Styela clava: one gene and its partners. The protein of the gene in region 2 purifies or fractionates together with the protein of the main gene of each other region. This does not show direct contact. Links are inferred from orthologs where the notes say so. Each region holds a gene or a part of one and is shown on either strand. Other genes may lie near its edges. The genes, in order: RNA transcription, translation and transport factor protein-like; protein FAM98A-like; uncharacterized protein LOC120343555.

The links.
Region 1: the proteins of protein FAM98A-like (region 2) and RNA transcription, translation and transport factor protein-like purify together in Homo sapiens (affinity purification with mass spectrometry; 4 studies listed by BioGRID and IntAct, with this or other methods). This does not show direct contact. The link is inferred for Styela clava from reciprocal best matches to the Homo sapiens genes FAM98A and RTRAF.
Region 3: the proteins of protein FAM98A-like (region 2) and uncharacterized protein LOC120343555 purify together in Homo sapiens (co-immunoprecipitation; 3 studies listed by BioGRID and IntAct, counting the BioPlex papers as one, with this or other methods). This does not show direct contact. The link is inferred for Styela clava from reciprocal best matches to the Homo sapiens genes FAM98A and ATXN2.

The regions. Positions count from the first base shown.
Region 1 is NC_135255.1:20,599,079-20,602,836, reverse strand, and holds the start of RNA transcription, translation and transport factor protein-like, read right to left. Parts: upstream 2,560-3,758; 5' UTR 1,717-2,559; coding exon 1,581-1,716; intron 604-1,580; coding exon 509-603; intron 158-508; coding exon 28-157; intron 1-27. Other genes in the region: phosphopantothenoylcysteine decarboxylase-like, read right to left, coding at 2,560-3,129. UniProt on the Homo sapiens protein: RNA-binding protein involved in modulation of mRNA transcription by Polymerase II. Component of the tRNA-splicing ligase complex and is required for tRNA ligation.
Region 2 is NC_135250.1:11,660,882-11,664,639, forward strand, and holds the start of protein FAM98A-like, read right to left. Parts: upstream 2,441-3,758; 5' UTR 2,315-2,440; intron 1,201-2,314; 5' UTR 1,139-1,200; coding exon 1,083-1,138; intron 858-1,082; coding exon 715-857; intron 1-714. UniProt on the Homo sapiens protein: Positively stimulates PRMT1-induced protein arginine methylation. Involved in skeletal homeostasis. Positively regulates lysosome peripheral distribution and ruffled border formation in osteoclasts.
Region 3 is NC_135252.1:15,482,909-15,486,666, reverse strand, and holds the start of uncharacterized protein LOC120343555, read right to left. Parts: upstream 2,357-3,758; 5' UTR 1,038-2,356; coding exon 997-1,037; intron 483-996; coding exon 443-482; intron 1-442. UniProt on the Homo sapiens protein: Involved in EGFR trafficking, acting as negative regulator of endocytic EGFR internalization at the plasma membrane.

The DNA of each region.
Region 1 (3,758 bases), on a different chromosome or scaffold from region 2:
GATCCAATATTTCAAAAAACAACTCACCATTATCGCCGTATTCCAGTCTGACAGCAAGTCCCAGTAGCCAATCGAGAGCCGACATTTTATCGCTAGATGAGAAAGGACACATCACATCTGTCAAATATTTAGTAAATGCTTTCGTCCATGCTGGCTCCTAAAAACATTACAAATCAGACAACAGAAAAAGTTAGTGAGCAAATTTGTCCAAGTGTTCAAACAGAGATAATAACCAATTTGAATATATTCTGGACTGGGATCAGCTCGATAAAGAAATTTGCGAAATTACCTTGAATATGCTAATTAGGGGGAGGGTCTTCATATGAGAATATGAGTGCAACTGGCCTCGGGGATATTCAGTTGGATACTTCGGGGAAGAGGCTCCCATTATGATTCGATTTAGTAATACAGAAAAGTTAGAATGAACATTGCTATGATTGATTTTATATTTTGCGATATAATTGGAAGTCAATTTGGATCAATCTTTTAATATTAAACAACCAATTACCTCAAATTTCCTTAATTCTTGTCTTTCATCGATTTTGTAATGTCGAACCTTTTGGTCTTCTATCCAAAGTATGATGAGTTTGAATTGTTTGTCATCTAGGAAAAATAAAAAATGTGTCATGATAAACAGAAGCAATTGAACTAGCAAATCTGTTTATTTGACCAAAAAAGGAGTCTTGATGCCAGATTTACCGAGAGCACCCGTTTTCAACCAGTGGGCCATGGCTCACTACTGGGCCATGAAAACCTGTCAAAAATTGCAAGAGTTATCGAAAATTTAGTTTTATTTGTGTCACTATAGTTAAAATGATGCTGCTGTTGTTAGCTGCAGAGTGGTAATTTTAATTATTCAAGTGAATTTTTTTTTTATTGTAGGAAGATTCATTTGTTTTTGGACACGTAGTGGACATAGCGATCGTTTCAATATTATGTTGTTGTTCTTGTTCTTTGACACCACTTTTTGGACACCTAGTGGAAAATCTAAAAAGTCGCTTTTCTTTTTGATTACTGGACCAATTGCTCTGAAATTTTCAGTGGTTACAGATAAAATTTTTCTCCAGAAGGCTATTACATTTATTTATTTCAAATATTTCTGTTAGTTCTGTGAGATTTGTTTTTGTTTGCTATGACGTCACCGAACGTTCTGCGGACATCGGACGCCATTTTGTGTCCGACTGTACTGCTTCGCTTGGTGTGAATATATTTGTAGACTGTGATCTGACGGTGCGATAAACCGTACTGTACTGCGAACAGACATGTCCATACATTTGGGCGTAGCTCTCTTGTTCTTGTAGTTATACCCTGGCATGGAAAAGTTAATGAGCCACGGAATTCCTGTGCAACAAAAATGTGCCACGACAGAAAAAAAGAATGAGAACCACTGACCTAGATAAAGCTGAAGCCATAGGAGCCTCGTCTTTCAACAAACATTCTCTCTTAATTCATTTTCAAACTTTAAAGTCTGTATTTTGAAATCAAAAACTGTCAGTCAACCTCGTTCATCTCGCTGTCTTGCCCGCCCCTTACATTTATAAATTTTATAATCTTTACACAAGAACAAAACAACTCCTCACCATTTGCATTGAACTTTGAGGCTTGTGGGAATTGCAAAGCTGAGAGTTTTCTTTGAAATGCTTTATTCATATTGTACATTACATATCTGATGAAAAAATGAAAGATAAGAAAGTGTATTCTTGGATTATTGGACATAGCATAGGAATGGAACAAGAAATTATATTCATCTCTTCAGAATGAAGGAAAAAAGTGCATAAATTGGAACACACATGAACTAATAGTTGATAATACATAACAAAAAAATGTTTTTCTATCTCAAAAATCAATGGACTGTGACTGACAGTGACATAGCCAAGTTAGTATTAAATAATTCTGCTTAGTTATTGTCCATTGATTGCTAAGTGAAAAATGTGTATGTTTACATGTTGTACCGAAATGCTTCAAATATTACACAATATTCATTGCCTTTTTATTAGTGTGCTTTTGTCTGAGATTCAATAACATGAAATTGATGAATTTTGATTTAAGACAGCATTATTTTAGACAGCTGAAATAATAACACATGATAACAAGGCAAATTTGGTTCTAAACAAAACTGAAAATAAGGTTATCTAAGTAAGTTTTCCTCAAGAATATATACTGTAAAATTCCCTGATTACATGTAAAATATGAGTTATTTGCAGTAAAATTACATAGGAGTTAAATTTGTCATACGGGGTGTCCATAAAGTCCCTTTACAATTTCAATTTTGTTATGAATTCAGTTCTCAATAAATTTTAACCAGGTTTGTTGTTTTTTTAATCAGAAAATGTGCAAGTATTTTTACTCAATTCATTACATCTGTGAGGGTCAAAACAATATATGGTATCGATAAATTCCCTTTACAATTTGAAAAAATTTTAAGATCTTACACCCTATATTTATTAGTCCGGCCTGAATGTTCTGAATATAAATTGATTGCAATGCAGAATTTCAGAATGTGACATTATCCAGATATGGACATTTACAATGATAACTTCGAAGTTTTTCAATTTTTTTTTATTTTGGAGCATTTTGACTGACAGCTTCAACAATCTCCTCTATTTCAGCCATGGCACCGATTCCTTCAGCCCCACAAGCTAGTACTTTCACGACTGGGGAGACAAACTTACACCCCCACTTTTTAAGGGTTTCGACTTGGGGTGCAGTAACTGGATGTAGCCACATTTGGGTATTCATGGACGGACAAAACACTACCGGTCTGGCATTAAAATCCCAAGCTCGTGCGATACACGATACTAAATTATCGCATAAACCGTTCGCTAGTTTTGCTAAAGTGTTTGCATCCAGAGGTGCAAATAGTACCAGGTCGGCCCAGTTGCATAAATCAATATGAAGAACCCTGTCGCCAGGTTTTTTCCATACATTCCACTCTTCTTTGTCTTTTATAATGGTAGCTTCCTTAGAAAGTTCTTCCAAATTCAAAAAATGTTCGCTATTCTCCGTAAGTACCACCTTAATTCCACACCCCGCAAATTTCTCTTTTAAAGCTGGTATTAGTAAAGGTATCTTCAGGCACGCCACACTTCCAGTGCAGCACAATAAAATATGGAATGATTTTGAAGTCATAGTGCAGTAGTGCTGTTTAATTATAACAGATTTAGAAATTAGATATTCTGAACTAAAAGTGTAATAAAACTCTTTAGTTGGCTAAAATTCAGTAAATGCAACAGAATATAGAGAAATAGAAATTGTTGGGGGGGTTTGATTCATTGACTCAGTTTAATATGGCACAGTTATTCAATTTGAAATTTGGTTCAACACAGAAAACACTCTATTTGTCTCCAAAACCAGGGCATCTGGCACGACGGCAGTTATTCCAAGCAACTGATAGAAGAGTTGCAAGTTTGCTCAATCAAAGCAAAGTCACTGCCCCTCAACTAAAAGTAAAAAGCGTACGGTGTAGATGATAAAAGAGTTGCAAGTTTGCTCAAAGCAAGGTCCCGAACCCTCAACTAAAAGTTAAATGAGTACTGATAGAAGAGATGCAAGTTTTCTCACAGCAAAGTCCCAAGCCTTCAACTAAAAGTCAGAAAGTGGAGAGAGTGCTGATAGAAAAGTTGCAAGTTTGCTCAAAGAAACGTCCCGATCCCTTACTGCCTTAGCTAAAAGTTGCAAAGAGTAGATAGAAGGGTTGCAAATTTGCTCAATTCGAGGTCCCGAAACCTCAACTAAAAGTTAAAAGAGTACCTACTAAC
Region 2 (3,758 bases):
ACTAGGCCTACAGGTTAGGATCTTCTGATACATCATCGCATCATTAGTTTATCACAAGAACCAAGGACATAAGAGTTATGACTATAACAATGGGCTAGCAAAAAAAAGATTCATCAATCAAAATTGAATCAGTTGACAAGAATTGTTCATTACAGGCAGGCTTTTCCAATAGGGTTATACCAAGTTTGTTCACGTAACTTATAGTTTACTCACAAGCGTTTTGCACACCTTTACTTGCTTCAAAACTTTGAACTAGACCTCTCCAATAATATTATAATAAGTTCCACGAAATTTAGAAGTACCGTACCACAGTAATGTTCTAACTTCTAGATCAGGGGTGTGCAACATTTAATACAGGAGGGTCAGATTCAAATAACTGGGGGAAACCACGGGTCGCGCCTTACATAGGCTATCTACTAGATGCAAGCAAAAAAATTTTGGTTATTGATCTCGTGATGCGTTGCTTGCACGAGCTAGTTGTTAAGGCATAGTCATGACTCATAGATAATAAATTGGACTCAGGTATAGGCTTCGCAACGCACAGACCAAATTGAATTGAAAACTCATTTCGCGGGACGCACATCTATCACAATTAGCATTTCTCCGTGGGCCGCACAATTTTTCCTTGAGGGCCGCAGATTGCACACCCCTGTTCTAGATCTCTGGAATTATGACACACTTGAATGACCTCTATTTCACAATTCAAGAGCGAACCTGGAGTTATTCTCTCTTCTAATTGAAGCAGCAGAGCAAGTTCGTTTGCAGCAGTAGCAACAAGTTGGATGTACTTTGGTGATGAAGCACCATTCTTTACAACCGCACACAAAGAGACTTCATCCTTGATATTGCCTGATAACCTAAAAAAACAAATACTCGAAATAAGACATGCCTCATCGCCAATTTTAATATTTAAAGCTAAGACCAATCCACCTTTGTCAATTTGTACCAATCTACACTATCATCAGATCATGTTTATTGAATGCTGACCCCTGTGCATTGTACCATATCAGCATATGCTAATCTGTCAGTCATCAATCTGACATATGATGATTAACTGACGAAAGAGAGTAAACAACAAGTACCTCAAATCATCTAAGCTATCCAAGATATCCTGAATCATTGATGTATTGTCGCTCATGATCAGTGCCACGTTATGTCTATTTAAATTGAAAAGCCTAATACAATTTTCCTTGATGTATTCTGGAGAATAGTAATAACAGACCAGAATAAAAGCTAGTTCAGTAGGTACTGTATTTAGAATTTTCATATTTATCCAGAGGGTGAGGAAAGTCGATAACAAGGCTCAATCAGATGATAAACGAGTAGAAGTGGTGACTCCTCTACGGCCCATCGAATTGGCCCATCAAGTTCTGTGAAGGGACTATTCACTTGGCTAACACAGACAGTCCCCGAACTCATAATAGAACTATAATCTGGAAAATCTGAACAAAATTTTGTCCTAACCCCAACCTGGTACACATACTACGGTACAAAAGTATCCTTTCCTGTGGCATCCCACGATTTTTTTTGGTTCGAATATTGACAATTTCGTGAAAATTGAAAATTTTGATAAAATATCTGAATTTTTTCTGATGGAGCAGCGGCCCAACGCTTGATGGGCCACGGTCCATGTGGCCCAATTAGATGGACCGTGGCCCCGGCCCATGGGCCTTAGAAGAGTCACCACCCCTGTAGGCAAATTTGATATTTGGCTGGTGTGACAGTGGACAGTGGTCTGTAGGCGGTGTGGCTCATCGTGCTAAGCGTTAGGAATACGCTGCCCTCGTGCCTCTGATTACTCTGCGTGGGTTCGCAGGTTCGAATCTCATGCAGGGATGGTAATGTGCGAGAGGATCGCTGGACTTCTCGCCGCCGTTGGGTGGTTCACGTAACCGCTGTTCGGTTACGGCTTCCTGTACCATAAAGTCCAAATAACCAACGAGACCAAACAAATAACTAACAAATCTCATACCTACCGGGTACCCGACTTGGAATGGTAACCGGGCGAGAGGCCGTGGTTCGCCATATGGTTAAGCCGGTGACCGTACATTTGAACCCATGCGTATATCCACGGGTTCAATCTATATGCGGGTGCTAAAACCCATGGGTTAGGGTTAGTATGGGTTTAACTATCCGTGAAACAAAAAAAATTCCATAGGTGCAATAGCATACAGGTGCAATTGTCATGGGTTCAAATGTACGTGGGTTCAAATGTAATGGAACCGGTTAAGCCGTCTTATCGCTTTCCTTTTGCCCGGGATACATATTATGTAAATCCTATCCTAAAGCGTTTCTATCGTATCTGCTTACGAACCTGCGTTGTGCACCACTTCCTGACTTCTGCGCCTAGTTTTTTCACACCAAAATACATGTTCGAAAGAAAAATGATACCAGATAGGCTATGCTAAATTTACATCCCCCTGTCTCCTGGTGAGAGCAACACCTAAATATTGCTGTAAGTCAAAGCCTATATACAGATATATATCGTATCTATAGTTTGCTGCAAGTTGTCCGCTCCGGCCATTTAGGCTCTGCGGTATCAGTTCATGCAATCTGATTTTCTGCAAGCGTTACATTGGTAATCCACATCCTATGAGTTTATTGCAATTCCGACAAAATATACAGAAATACAATGCACACACAATTAGATCAAATCTACAAACAATCTACGTGTGGTGATAACTAATCACTATATTTGGTGAATATATATATCGTATCTATAGTTTGCTGCAAGTTGTCCGCTCCGGTCATTTTGAGCTCTGCGTTATCAGTTCATGCAATCTGATTTTCTGCAAGCGTTACATTGGTAATCCACATCCTATGAGTTTATTGCAATTCCGACGAAATATACAGAAATACAATGCACACACAATTAGATCAAATCTACAAACAATCTACGTGTGGTGATAACTAATCACTATATTTGGTGAATCCGACGTGATCTGAACACGCAACCTTCTGATATGGAGTCAAGCGATTTCTTAACTACCGGTAATTATGGACTTATACCGGTACTTGATTTTAAAAATCACTATATGTATTTCACTCTATGGCTATGCTTTCTATCTGGGATACCAACCATTATTGACTATTTTGACTACTAAAAGCAATTACATGTACTGGAATTTCTTGATAACCACGTAACATTTTTTTACTTGTAGCCATTATAATAGAATGGTTCCTGTTGTGTTGTAAAAGCTGAATAAAATTCAACACAACAGAAGAATTAAAGCAGTGAATAGTAAATTTCATCGAAAGTTTTATCGAAGTCTAGTTTTCATTGAAGCAAATTCAGAAAAAATATCGTCAAAAGATAATGTCTCGACTAAATCACTTTCAATGAGCAGTATTGCTGGCACAGGCAGCCTGCTTTCTCCCATAGTCGATCTCAACAGGGGCCACGAAGCAGTTCGAGGGGGGCCACGACACAAGACTAATAATTTATTATATAGCGACTTCGTTTGCATACTTTCCACGGCAGTTTCATTACCTGAATAGGATTATTTGCGATCACAGGGTCAGGGGGTATTCACTTTCTTGTACGTGAATTATTTGATCATGATGGAATTTGAAATCTACCAATGAAAATAGTTCGCCGGTAGGCCGTCTGGTCTAACCTACGGAATTGCAGTTCCACTCGACTGCGAGATAACCTTCGCTAGCGTATTATAGACGCAATTACGAAAATTGAACACATGAATAGCTGCGTTCCTGGGCCTTCAAAGCACAGAAAGATGTACTAACAACAACAACAACAG
Region 3 (3,758 bases), on a different chromosome or scaffold from region 2:
TAAGAATAATAGGAGGAATAACCATTTCACAATCTCAATATTTATTAGAAATTTCAAGTGTGGATATCGAAAATAAATACAAATTCTTCAAATTTAACCGCTCCACACCAATTAGGTATATCGATGAAAAATTGCTTTGCTGATATATGCACTGCATGGCATATGTTATATTTGATTTGGGTTTATTCCTCATAATACATTGCATTGGCACATGTAAGAATACTATTCAAATAGTAGTTTGATTCCCCTATTGCTGAAATATCATATTCATTAGAACTGAGTTTGTAAGAATTTCAGTTTCTTTTGGAAAACCAAGTTGAGTTTCTATATGAAGCTAATATAGAAGTGTCAGAAATTTATAAAAAGATCAATATGGAAAGGGAAGTTTAGAAAATAATTAGGATAATTCAGTAAATTATATTCATCTAGATTATTTGCATACCGGACTTTGATTCTGGCTAGAATTCTTCTTCGACCCCGGCCTGAAAAAAAAATAATGATAAATGTTCCCTACTTTAACCGAATAAATTTCCTTGCCTATTTTGGGTTATGTTTCAAACATCTCACGAAAGTATATCATATCTACAAATCTGACTTGAACAGCAAGGGAACAGAGTTACATCGATCAGTTTTGTAATGATTGATATAAAAACAAATGGAACTGCAGGAAGTAATAAAGAAATGCGACAAACGTAAAAGGTTGAGACAATAAATGTAACAGTGTTATTAAAAAGTGTGCGACATGGTAATAAGGTTGTAGTATGAAAGAAAATATCCTACTATAAAACACTGGGAACATTTGAATATTTAATGGGCTGGCATTTCACAAAAGTAAATTTACGAAGTCTATATGACAAATATAGGAAATGTTCAGGGCATCTCTACAGAGAACTGTTACAGAAATACATTTGTGTTAGGGTACAAAAAGAATTTAATAACTGATAAATTTATTTAAAATTAGAAAAAAAGCATATATAAAAGCGAGGGCAAACTCACCTCACATTCTTTGACTTTCTACCTTTGCTTGCTCCAGACATTTTGGATTTGAGAATTTATCGATGAACGATTAGTTGTCGTATCAGTTTCAGCATTGACATGAAATTATCATAAATACAAAGCTTGATTCAACACTTGGTTGCATAAAATCGCTTCATGAAAAATGTTATTTCACTATTTCACGAAACAGTGTATACATTTTCCGCAATTAAAAAGATGAAAATTGATCCGATGTACTTCTTTTAAGAACCAGATTCCAGAATTTTCATTTCAGGTTGATTTCAAACCTTCCTAGTTTTCTTTGCTTTGAATCATCAAAAAAATTTTGAACAATAAATTTGATAAGGCTATTATAGAATAGCAATTATTGGTCACTTTCAAATTTAGAAAGCCTGATTTGGCAATAAGGTAAATAACCTAAAAACAAAGTATGTTATAACTAATTTCAAAACAATATATTACGGACAAATTGGTTATTATTTACAGCGTAAACTTGAGAATTCCATACTACCGTAATCACTAACAAATTGCAATTTAAAAATTCCATTTTAGGTAAACTTGGATAAATTACAAAAAGGTTTAGCCAATAAGAAAAAATTTCAAAAATAGCCAATGAGGAAAATTTCAAATCAAGATTTTTTGCGAACTGGCAAGTACATCCAAAATTGTACCAAATGTGTAATTAGTTCATGCTGCCTCTCGCAATAATAGCAACTTGATAAAAATGCATAGCTGTTACAGCAGCGTTTTCCAACCAGGGAGATATTACAGAAAAATAACTTTGTATTCGGTGTAGCTTACTAATATTGTTTAGTCAAAAATTATTACTCAGTTATTGTTATAAATATTTATGCACACACTATAAAAATTCCAGCCATACGAAAGCTAGAGTGCAAGTTGCACACTCTCTGTGGTTGAAAATGGGGTGCTTTGAACTTATTTGATTTATATACCTAGTCAGTTATTTATTTTTGTTAATATTGCTGTCACTAGGTTATAATTTCTATAAAATTCCCATAAAAGATTCATGATACAAAAAATTCATTCATCAAAATATTTACTAGCATCGTTATGACGATCATATTCAACTACAATATAGAGCTGAGAGTATGACTCGAGATGCATCAAATTCTTCTGCACACTGCCTGACTGCAGAGTATGACTGAATGAGGTCAATTTTGAAGTCTCAACGCAGATAGATGTTCAAAGTTCTGAAATGCTAAACGTTCTATTCGAGGTTGAGTGTGAACAGTTGAACAATGAGCATATTTTTCACTTTTAAAAATAGCAAATTTTTTTGGAAAAATTTATACAATCCATAATGCTGTAATGTGAAAATCATTGCTAGTGCATGTTTTATACGTGAATGAACTGTACGGTACTGATTTATGCAACAGTATGACAGTGCTGTATCATACTGCTATACTGATATTTTCATAGGTGTAATATCAGAATATCTTGCCCGGTAGGGTACCGTACCGTACTGCACAATACTACAATAGGTCAGTTGGTACTGTGGTACGTTCTGACGTTACGGGTATATCTGTACTGTACAATCAGACAATGGTTTCTAACAGTTGAGGTTGCGTGAAACTAACTACCTTTCCTTGCTTTCTATGCGTTTGCGCAGGTGGATCCGTATGCGTATTATGCAAGGATGCTGTAGCAAGAGTGTAAATGGCTATTCTATTCAATTTAAGAGTCTTGCTGCACACGAACACACATATATTTCTGTAACAGTTGAGTCTGACCTCAGTCAGACGAAACGTTACATAAATATATTTGTGTTCGTGTGCAGCAAGACTCTTGAATTGAATAGTACAATGGTTTCGTTACCATACCGTATGCTGAATTGCTGGTACATCACATGCTGACATGCGTGACCCATTTATGCATTTAGAAAAACTGATACCGGTTTCGGTACGAGTACCGGTACGGTACCGTGATATTTTGACAACAATGTCCTAGCTAGCCTATAATGTATTGTTCATAAATCAGTCATCATGGATAGTCTACTTATTATTTCATTACTACCAAATGTTAAATATTCTGATAGTTTACTTGTACCGAAACGCATTGATGGCGCAGCCGAAACTGAAAACAAATTTATCAGACGCAACAACGTCTAAAATACGAAGCCGCGCGACATGTGATGCCAAAGTCTCCTTCATCATCGACGCAATGACGCAACATGGTTTTGCGCTTTTTATCGGTTTCCATGATCGCGGGCCTGTCTGATAGATCTGTCGCTTGATCTAACAAATTCACTTTGATATTCTGCCACAGAGATATTCATATCTGGTTCGATCATTACAATTTTGAAGTCCGATTTAAGCTGCTAATAACGATAGAGCACAAAGTTGCACCAATTGACGCTATTTATCAGACGCTTCCTGTGAAGATTTTGTGAGAATGATCAGTCAACGCACTTGCTTAGGGGTTGGAATAAGAATTTGAAACATTATCTTGAATTCTTAGGGCCCGTCCATTCACCACCATCTTTGTACCAACTAAACTCTACCAAAAGCGCAATTATGTTAGGAGAACAAAATCGAAATTTTACTTTAAAAAAAGCTGTTGCAGCACTGATTCGCGAAAATGGCCATAGAAGTGCCGCAATGGTAATTTATGGGAAGAATGTATATTTCCGCACCTAAATATGTCATTGACGTGACCAGTGGAACTTACAGTTTCTGCCAGAGCCATTACGATCGAAAGTCATAGCATCTGCCCCGACTAGTGGCAGGTGTCATTTACGCGAA